2 linked regions of the Arabidopsis thaliana genome follow. The protein of the gene in region 1 interacts with the protein of each later gene in a pairwise test. Each region holds a gene or a part of one and is shown in the gene's direction. Other genes may lie near its edges.

Evidence for each region.
Region 2: the proteins of CPFTSY (region 1) and AT2G25650 interact in a two-hybrid assay, tested with the Arabidopsis thaliana proteins (one large-scale study listed by BioGRID).

The regions. Positions count from the first base shown.
Region 1 is NC_003071.7:18,849,122-18,854,487, forward strand, and holds CPFTSY (signal recognition particle receptor protein, chloroplast (FTSY)), read left to right. Parts: upstream 1-1,966; 5' UTR 1,967-2,126; coding exon 2,127-2,432; intron 2,433-2,539; coding exon 2,540-2,644; intron 2,645-2,720; coding exon 2,721-2,794; intron 2,795-2,905; coding exon 2,906-2,964; intron 2,965-3,075; coding exon 3,076-3,113; intron 3,114-3,285; coding exon 3,286-3,406; intron 3,407-3,493; coding exon 3,494-3,562; intron 3,563-3,654; coding exon 3,655-3,737; intron 3,738-3,852; coding exon 3,853-3,921; intron 3,922-4,016; coding exon 4,017-4,079; intron 4,080-4,167; coding exon 4,168-4,281; 3' UTR 4,282-4,620; downstream 4,621-5,366. UniProt on the Arabidopsis thaliana protein: Signal recognition particle receptor protein. Binds GTP specifically. The GTPase activity is inhibited by the N-terminus of the protein until binding to the thylakoid membrane. Activates the GTPase activity of FFC/cpSRP54 when bound to the cpSRP complex.
Region 2 is NC_003071.7:10,912,382-10,916,869, forward strand, and holds AT2G25650 (DNA-binding storekeeper protein-related transcriptional regulator), read left to right. Parts: upstream 1-2,129; 5' UTR 2,130-2,383; coding exon 2,384-2,620; intron 2,621-2,701; coding exon 2,702-3,625; 3' UTR 3,626-3,835; downstream 3,836-4,488. Other genes in the region: AT2G25640 (SPOC domain / Transcription elongation factor S-II protein), read left to right, coding at 1-310, 544-664, 1,040-1,099, 1,327-1,527; emb2410 (embryo defective 2410), read right to left, coding at 4,075-4,221, 4,328-4,488. UniProt on the Arabidopsis thaliana protein: Probable transcription factor. May play redundant roles with GEBP and GPL2 in cytokinin responses by regulating the transcript levels of type-A ARR response genes. Involved in stress responses.

The DNA.
Region 1 (5,366 bases):
CGTAACAGTTAATTACATTAATACAAATTGGTATTGTAGTCGTAGTTACGTGATTTATCCCAATTCAAAGTGGATGTAGGTAATAGCTGGGAAAGGTAAAAACTGAAAAATCTTGGCCAACAAACACATGCATGCATGGCTATACATTGTAAATTACATATGTCAGCAGCATCGTGTCGTGAGCTAAGCTAAATAGCTGTGGAAATGTTCATATATTTAACAATAGTTTAAAACTGCAACGATGTGGTCGCTCACTCTATAATGTATTTTTGCGAGATATTATTATATGTATATTATCATATGACCCAAGATGACCGATGGGCTTAGCTTGCAGTACTGATGAATAAATCATTACAGACTGTTTCTGGAAATTTGTTGTTTGTTGCCCAGTTATTTCATGGCACATGGATTAGGCACTCATATCAACTATGTAGTACTTTTTCTACAATGTTGTCGTGTTGACTTGATAAAAGTATACAGTCAATCTAGGTCAATATCTACTAGTTCTTTCTTATACCGTTTTTGGTGGATAGCGGGAATGGAATTGCTAATTCTAACTTACAAGGTATGGTTTACGAATATTGTAAGTGTTTTTTTTTAGAATGCCAATTCAGATATTCAAAAAACGGAGAACATGTACTAGTCATTAAATATAGAGTAATAGAGTTAAAAATCTATAAATTTTGACCGAATACATATAAAAATATAAAAAATTAGAATAATCACCAAGTATTTCTCGGTGCTTATTAATATAAGAAGATAGAATTTAAAAATGGCTACCAAAAACAAAAATAATAAAAATATTTATTAAAATAAGCAAATTGTTAATTAGATAATTCAACAGATTTGAAATTTATAATCGGCCACTTGTTTTTTCTTTTATAATTAGAGACTCTCAAACCAAAATCTAAAGTAATTTACACGATATGTATATATAAAGTCAGGTCTAAACCACTGAATTTAGAGATCCGATCCGTTGATGGGAAAACTCAACCCACATTATCAATTCTGTGGAAAAAAGATTGTGATTTATTTATATTTTTTGTGTGGAACACATGTATGTACTATAACTGTGTAGTACATGCATATGTAATTTCAAGTACTCGTTAAAGAAAACAGACCAGCAAATTGTCTTAGTAACATTTTTCCACATACCATCTAATCGTTCATGACATCGTTTTGCTTATGTCACGTTTATGACGCTTGTATGAATGTGTTCGGCTGTTGGTGTACCAAATATACGACAAATGCGAAACATAAGAGAAAAAGATAAGTTAAACGTTATACCTAAGGAAACAAATTTGGAGTCTTCACTTTTGGTCGTCCTCAGCAAACAAATTTGGTGTATATAATAATCAAAATAGGCGAAGTCCTATAAATTGTTTGCCAACAAAATATAAATTGTCAAACTAGTATTCGCCACAAATGCACTTTTGAGTTAAAATTGAATCACGTGTGAAGAAGTTGTTGGACTTTGTTTACATCCTTTGGATCAAGTCTTAAAGTCGTTCTATGGACATTTGAGAAATCTACGGGAAATAGAGGCAAAAGAAAAAGAAATCAAATATAGTAGTAGGTTTTAAAACATACATACTTTGTACCAAAGCTTAATGGCGCCATCAATGAATGAAATAGTTGATGTGATTGTAGCTGAATGATTGCTAGTTACTTGTTGTGCTCGTTTGAGGATAAATCTTATGATTTCAAATTTCCAATATCTTTGAAAATCGTTCAAAGTAAGATATAAACATACCTTTGAAAGAGAAATTAGTATATAAACAAATAAAACTAATTATAGTTTTCAAAATGATAACTGTAGATGATTAACTATTTTCTCTCACTAATTTACTAACATATCCTTGATAAAACTTGTAATCTAGATAGATAGAATATAAAAAGACGTAATCTATTATATACAAAACAAATTTGTATTTGAGGATTTTTTTTATTTATAATTATAATTAATAGTTTTCAAAAAATTAAGCATTAACGCTGCGTTTTTCATTATTCATTTTTTTGCAGATTGGTTCATTATTGGGAAACAATAGAAACGTAAAACGCAGCGTATAAAAAAGATTATTATCCAGTAAGTCAGTAACTTACACAGATTCTCTAGCACAACTGCCATGGCAACTTCTTCTGCTCACCTCTCGTTTCTCGCCGGACGTATATCGCCGTTCTCCTCCGAACGGATCGGATTATTTCCTCTCAGAGGAGAATTTCGTCCACGAATGACCCGGTTCCGGTGCTCGGCCGGACCGAGCGGATTCTTCACGCGGCTGGGTCGGTTGATTAAGGAGAAGGCCAAAAGCGACGTGGAGAAAGTTTTCTCCGGATTCTCTAAGACTAGGGAAAATCTAGCAGTCATCGACGAGCTCTTACTCTTCTGGAATCTTGCTGAAACAGACCGAGTTCTTGATGAATTGGAAGAGGTTTTTTAATTTTAAAGCCATCTTAATTCGAATTATTGTTGATTCTCTGGGTTTCAGATGCAAATGGAGTTTCCCTGAAACCTAATAGTGGGAATAATTCAATGTAGGCGCTTTTGGTTTCTGATTTTGGACCGAAGATTACTGTTAGAATTGTGGAGAGGCTAAGAGAGGATATCATGTCAGGAAAACTCAAATCAGGAAGCGAGATTAAGGTTGATTTGAACGAAATTGTGGTTATGTTAGGGATTAGGGTTTATAGCTAGTTGATTGTACTTCTGAATGGTGTAGGATGCATTGAAGGAAAGTGTGTTGGAGATGCTGGCTAAGAAAAACAGCAAGACAGAGCTTCAATTGGGTTTTAGGTTCTCTTCATTTAGCTGTGTTACTTGTTATTCTTTCACGCCTCTGCTCTGTTGAAGTGGAGTTATGAAAGATTGTGGTTCTAAGTCTGGTTATATGTTATGGTGTATCAGGAAACCAGCTGTTATAATGATTGTTGGAGTGAACGGAGGTGGGAAGACGACATCTCTTGGTAAGGAAATTGGCATTAATGCTTTAGAGTGGGAATTCAAATGACTAGCTGGTTTGCTTTGGCTTAGCCACAGAAAGATTTATGTGAAAGATTCTGGCTTTTGTTTTTCAGGAAAGCTGGCTCATAGATTGAAAAATGAAGGAACTAAGGTACACCTTTCATGTTTGATATCATGTAAACTAGATCCTTTTTGTTCTTCTCTTGAGAGTTGAGACTAGAAAGTGGTTGCTCAAATAGGTGATGAGAAATTTTGCCAGGGTAGGTAGAAATAGAATTGAGTATCAGTATGTTCATCAGCAATCCTGCGATGATTTGTCATAGGTATTAATGGCAGCAGGTGATACATTTAGAGCAGCAGCAAGTGACCAATTAGAGATATGGGCAGAGAGGACTGGGTGTGAGATTGTTGTGGCTGAAGGAGACAAGGCTAAAGCAGCCACGGGTAAACCAATGCATTGTTATTTTGGCTTGCCAGTATCGGTGTTTGGTGCACAAACAACTTTAACATGTTTGTTCTGTTTCTGAATAGTTCTCTCAAAGGCTGTGAAAAGGGGGAAGGAGGAAGGTTATGATGTTGTACTGTGCGACACATCTGGACGTAAGCATACAAGAGTTTGCTTGCTGACTTAAAAAACATGCTTATGTACCGTCTTTACTGAATCTGAGGAACATTACACCTCTTTATGTAAGGTCTCCATACTAATTACAGTTTGATGGAGGAGTTGATTGCGTGCAAAAAAGCAGTGGGCAAGATTGTCTCTGGTGCACCTAATGTGAGTGAGCCTTTTTACTTATCCTATTCTGTTATCTTGCTTATATTATTACACTCTGTTAGTCTCCAATTTCGATCATGCGTTAGCTAAAAATAATATTTTACGGAATTGTTAGGAGATCCTACTTGTCCTTGATGGAAACACTGGTTTGAACATGCTTCCACAAGCTAGAGAATTCAACGAGGTACCATACGAAACTACCTAAACCTAGTGATTCTGGCTCCCCAAACTAGAATTTCTTCGTAAAATCTTGAGGTTTCTGGGTTACATTTTTTTCAGGTTGTTGGTATCACCGGTTTGATATTGACGAAACTAGATGGCTCTGCTAGAGGAGGCTGTGTGGTAAATATCTCATAAAATTTTTGATCTCATTCAAAGCTCTTATTTTTCATTAGCTCTGTCATTGAAACTGGTTCTCCATGTCTTGCAGGTCAGTGTGGTTGAGGAATTGGGCATTCCCGTAAAGTTTATCGGTGTAGGAGAAGCTGTAGAAGATCTCCAACCTTTTGATCCGGAGGCTTTTGTGAATGCTATATTCTCTTAAGCCATAAAACCTCGTCTTCTTCAAAAAGCTATCATCTTCAACGCAGGCCAGAGCCAAGTGGAAAATTCACAGTGAATTCGCCGGAGATGCAAATGGAAGCATTCCTTATTTTCTTGGAGATCTTAGGTTGACAAGCTTTTTCTGCAATGGATGCAAGTTTCGATTTTTAATGATGTGACAAAGCTCGTTTGCACACTGATAGTGATCACACAAGAATGTAACGAGTCATAGGAACTGCTTGTGTCTCGTCTCACTACTATTTTGTATATTGTTAATGTTGTATTTGAAAGGAATTACAAAGATTGATAAAAGAACAATGAGGGGAGGAAAACCGTAAAAAAGAAAGAAAAAAAAATGAAACTTTTTTAAAAAATATTCATAACTTGTATATAATCCACAAAACGATGCAAAGGTCAAATGACATGATCCATAATTCGATTAGTTTTCATATCATTTTGTAAAAATTAATATTCAAATTTAAAAATAAAAACTGTAAAAATGAAAGAATAAAAAACAAAAATTTAAAACTTTTGAAAATATATTAATATGAAACTTGTATATTAATTCTACAAAACATTGTGAAAACAAGTTGAATTAGTGGTATCGGCATACGACTTCAAATGACAAGATCCAAAATCCGGTTAATTTTTATTTTATTTTGTAAATCTAATATCCAAATTAAAAGTTAAAAACCATAAAAAAGAAAAAAAAACAAAAATTTTAAAATTTTTCGAAAATGTTAATAATTTGTATATTAGATCTACAAAACGATGCGAAAACAAGTTAAATTAGTGGAATCGGCTAACGATCAAAAACTGTAAGAAAGAAAAGAACAAAAATAAAATTTATAAAAAACCTCTTAGAAAAATATTAATAACATGTATATTAAATCTATAAAACGATGTGAAAAACAAGTTGAATTAGTGGAATCGGCTAACGATCAAATGACTAGGTCAAATGACAGGATCCAAAATCCGGTTAGTTTCCATATCATTTTGTAAATTTAATATCCAAATTAAAATTTGAAAACCGTAAGAAAGAAAAGAACAAAAATCACCTTTAAAAAAAATATATTAATAACTTGT
Region 2 (4,488 bases), 7.9 Mb from region 1:
CAGATACTGAGAAAAAACCTTCTGTTTCAGATAATAATGATGTAGAGGAGGTTTTAGTTTCATCACCCAAAGAAAGTGCTAATATTGATCTTTGTACATCACCAGTTAAGGCTGAGGCATTGTCACCACTTACGGCTAAGGCATCATCACCTGTTAACGCTGAGGATGCTGACATAGTATCGTCAAAGCCTAGTTCTGATTTGAAATCCAAAACTACATCTGTTTTCATACCTGATGGTGAACGTTTATGGGAAGGTGTGCTCCAGCTGAGTCCTTCTACTGTGAGCTCTGTCATCGGCATTCTAAGAAGGTTTGTAATAAATTGTTTCATGAGTGGTAGCAAACCTATCTCAGTATTTTTTTTTTATTCCACATTTCCAAATTTAGGTTTGCATATATGAATAGCTTTCTTTATTTAGTCTACATGTTACTACTTATCTATACTATTCTAGTGCTTATCAGCTCTATAAAATGTTTTTTTAATGAATATGGCTTCGCTGTTATTGATACCATGTTTACCAACCTGATTTTTACGCTTCACAGTGGCGAAAAGACTACTACAAAAGAGTGGCCTATTTTGCTCGAGATTAAGGGTAGAGTCAGATTAGATGCATTTGAGAAGTTTGTTCGAGAGCTCCCAAATTCCAGGAGTCGTGCTGTAATGGTATTTGTCTACACGTTTACCTCTATCATTAATGTACATGTTTTATATACGCATTCTGTGTTTGAGCCCCTGCAAAAGCTATTAACTGTGACGTTTAACCAAGCTTAAGTAGAAGCATTTAGGAAAGAAGAGGAGAGATTAACGGCCAATACTGATTTGTGAATGATTGAGAAAAATACATTACATCTGTGAATCACAATGGAGATAGATGGACTTACAAAAATATTTTCACCAGAACAATTGCATAGCTTATGTTTCTTGAATAGGCCTCCATATTCCAATAAAACTAAGACCTGTTTGTTCTCGATTCTATATGTATGTGATGAACTCGTTTATCCATCATGGTACTTCTGAAACCTTGCTTTCGTGTTACAGGTTATGTGTTTCGTCTGCAAAGAAGAGTGCTCAAAGACAGAACAAGAGAACATTTCCGAGGTATGAGCGTTGGTAGTTAACCAAGATTCTGTGTATCCAAATAAACGAAAAGATGATTAAAAAAACTTGAGATTTATTTGAATATTAATGATTTATTTGATCAAAACTGAACGCGAATCTGTACAAACTGAAAACCCAAACCGAATTTAAATTGAAACACTCCTAAATATCTGTAGAATGTCTAACTTGGTAACGAAATTTGGGCATTTGGTTTTGTTACTATACAGGTGGTGGATTCATACGCTAAAGATGGGAGGGTGGGTTATGCAGAACCAGCTTCAGGAGTTGAGCTATACCTATGCCCAACCCGTGGGAGAACTGTCGAGATTCTAAACAAGATTGTTCCGAGAAACCAACTCGATTTCTTGAAATCTATAAATGATGATGGTCTTATAGGTGTTGTTGTATGGAGAAGACACACAATTTAAAAAATCACCACTATCTAACAACTCTCACAAGAACCACCGTGAAAAGGGTTCTTCGTTAACCACATATAATACTTCTCGTTACAGTAACATGCTACAGGTCAACAATGACGATGGTGATGATGTGCCACCGGGGTTTGGCCCAATGACCATGGCTCGGGATGAAGATGATGACTTGCCTGAATTTAACTATTTTTCCAGTGGGGATGTTGTCGTGAACCGGACAAGCCGGTCTGTATCTGTAAGAGAGCTTATTCAAAAATATGGAAAATCTGAACCTTTGAGGAACCAAAGTTATAATGATAATGACAATGATATACTACCAGAGTGGCAGCCTCAATCTAACTGGACTCTTGGGGTTACTCATGTAAATGGTGGCTCGATGGTTAGACCATGTAGTGAGTGGTGGTCTCATCAGGATGGCAGAGGAGGATATTAATTGTTTTTTGTTTCACCTTAGCAATTTTGTGTTTGTTATGCATTTTCTGTTGCAGGCAACACTGCTTTCCAAATTTTGTGATTTTCTCTCAACAGTCACCGATATTTGGCACTTTATTAGTAAGATGGGCTTGCGCAGCCCGCTAATATATTGCTCCTTTCTGTAACAAAAAGTACAAAAGTAACAAAATCCACTCCTATCGATTATACTATAAAACAGAAGTGCAGAGAAAATTTCAGTCATGATATTTTTTGACCAGCTCGATTCAGAAATTTGGAAAGACTAGCTTTTTTTTCTCTCGGGTTTCACTTTTTAAAGGTCGTGAAAATTTGGGAATCACTGATCAATTTTGTTAATATGATTTCCTGATTTAGGGTTTCTCTGCATGCCTCTAGAATCAGCAAGTGTAAAGCAATTACCATGGTGACTCCGAAGCAGATCGATTTCTCTTCCTGTGGTGGTGGTGATAACTCCGACGATACCCTCTCCCATCGAGAATCTCCACGGAATCCTTCCTCAAAGCGTGCTGCTGCTTCCTTCGCAGCAGAAGCAGGCGAAGAGACTATGAAGAAGAAAAAGAAGAAGAAGAAGAAGAATTTGGGTCCGCCGTTGATCGTCCGGATCTGGAACGAGGAAGATGAGCTCTCTATCTTAAAGGTATTCTATTCATCTTCTCCGTTACACTTTGATTTGGTTTTGCATTCTGATTTTCTCAAAACCAGATTCGAAATTTCTCAGGGATTAGTTGATTACAGAGCTAAGACAGGATTCAATCCCAAAATTGATTGGGATGCGTTTTACAGTTTCCTCGGAAGTTCTATCGTTGCGAAATTCTCCAAGGAGCAGGTTTTGAGTAAGATCAGGAAGTTGAAAAGGAGATTTCATGTTCATTGGGAGAAAATCAGTGAAGGGAATGATCCGAAATTTACTAGGTCTAGTGATTCTGAAGCCTTTGGATTTTCTTCGATGATTTGGGGACAAGGTGAATTTGGTAATGATGATGGTATGGATAAGGAGATGGTGAAGGAGCACGATGTAAACGGAAATGGCGCAGCTGAAAATGGGACTGCTCGAATAGCACAGGAGAACGAGAGTGGGGAGGAGATGTTAAAGGAGCATGAGGAAACGTTAAATGAGAATGGTGCAGAGGAGATAAGAGACAACGACGAGACTGCTCGGAAAGCACAGCAGCTCGAGAGCGAGAGCGAGGAGGAGATGTTGAAGGAGCATGAGGAACCCTTTAATGAGAATGGTGCAGAGAATATAAGAGACAATAACGGGACTACTCAAATAGCACAGCAGAGCGAGAGCGAGAGTGAGGAGATGTTGAAGGAGCATGAGGAAGTGGCTAATACTGAACTTGTAAATGAGAATGGGGCAGCGAAAACAACAGAGAACGGGACTACTGGTGGAAAAGAGAGACATGATGACGATGATGATGATGAGTTATGCGCTGTGCAGGATGCATTTGAGGCTGTAATGTCGCAAGGTTTAAGTGGTTATCAAAAGAAGTTGCAGCTTGAGAAGCTGATGAACCTTGGAACTGGAAAAAGAAGAGAGTTGAGTGATGAATGGAAAGCGTTATGTGTTGAGGAAAGAAGATTGAATATCAAGAAGCTTAGATTTTCCGCCAAGCTTGCAGAGGCAGCTAATGATAGTTAGATGAAACCAATAAGCCGTTGTAGCATTTGGTGTTAATTAGGTTCTTAGTAAGCCATAAGCTTTAGTCTGTTCAGTGTATATCTTTGGATGTTGTCTTTGTTCTGTTTGGGCAAGTGTTTGTAAGACATTCCAGTTTTAACTGAAGTATCCAGAAGAGCCATCCATGTCCATTGTTGGATATAATAAATTTCATTACTTTCTTGTTGCACCAATCAGTCAATGAAGTGGCAAAACATTTTATATGCATTCCCTAACAAAAGGCATTTACAATGTAATTTTTACATTTTTAACCACTAAAAGGCCAGAAGAAGTGCACAAAGAAAGACTGACCAAATAATAAAATAATTTTTCTTGTCGGTAGTCACCAAAACCATGCTATTCCAAAATGCACTTCCTTTGCAACAAACGGCTTATATCCATATGAATCCGACAGAGGAAGACAAAAGGATTTAGTCTTGTGATGTAGCAGAGTATTCAAAAAGCAAACGTTTGGAAGGTGCAGATTGCAGAAGGACACGCAAGCGGCTCGTGAGCTGGTAAATAAGTGTCCATTGCATTGCCATCTCAGAATCTTTCATCTGTCTTACCACAGAGGCCTGTAGATAAAAGACAGCAAGAACCGTGGAGTGCTTATTTTGGTTAGGTTTTGAAAAAAATGAGGCCATATGGAGAAGAAAGAAGATTTCAATGTTTATGCCTGACCTGAAGACGTTTTCCGAGCTGCACTTCAACTTCCGTTCCAAATGATATGTTGCTCGCCAGAGACTTGAGAGGATCCACAGTTGGATCAACAGAGAGTAAACTTGGGATCTGCGGAGCATACACCAACCTCCATCTCGCCTGACCAAACTCTCCTTTTCCTT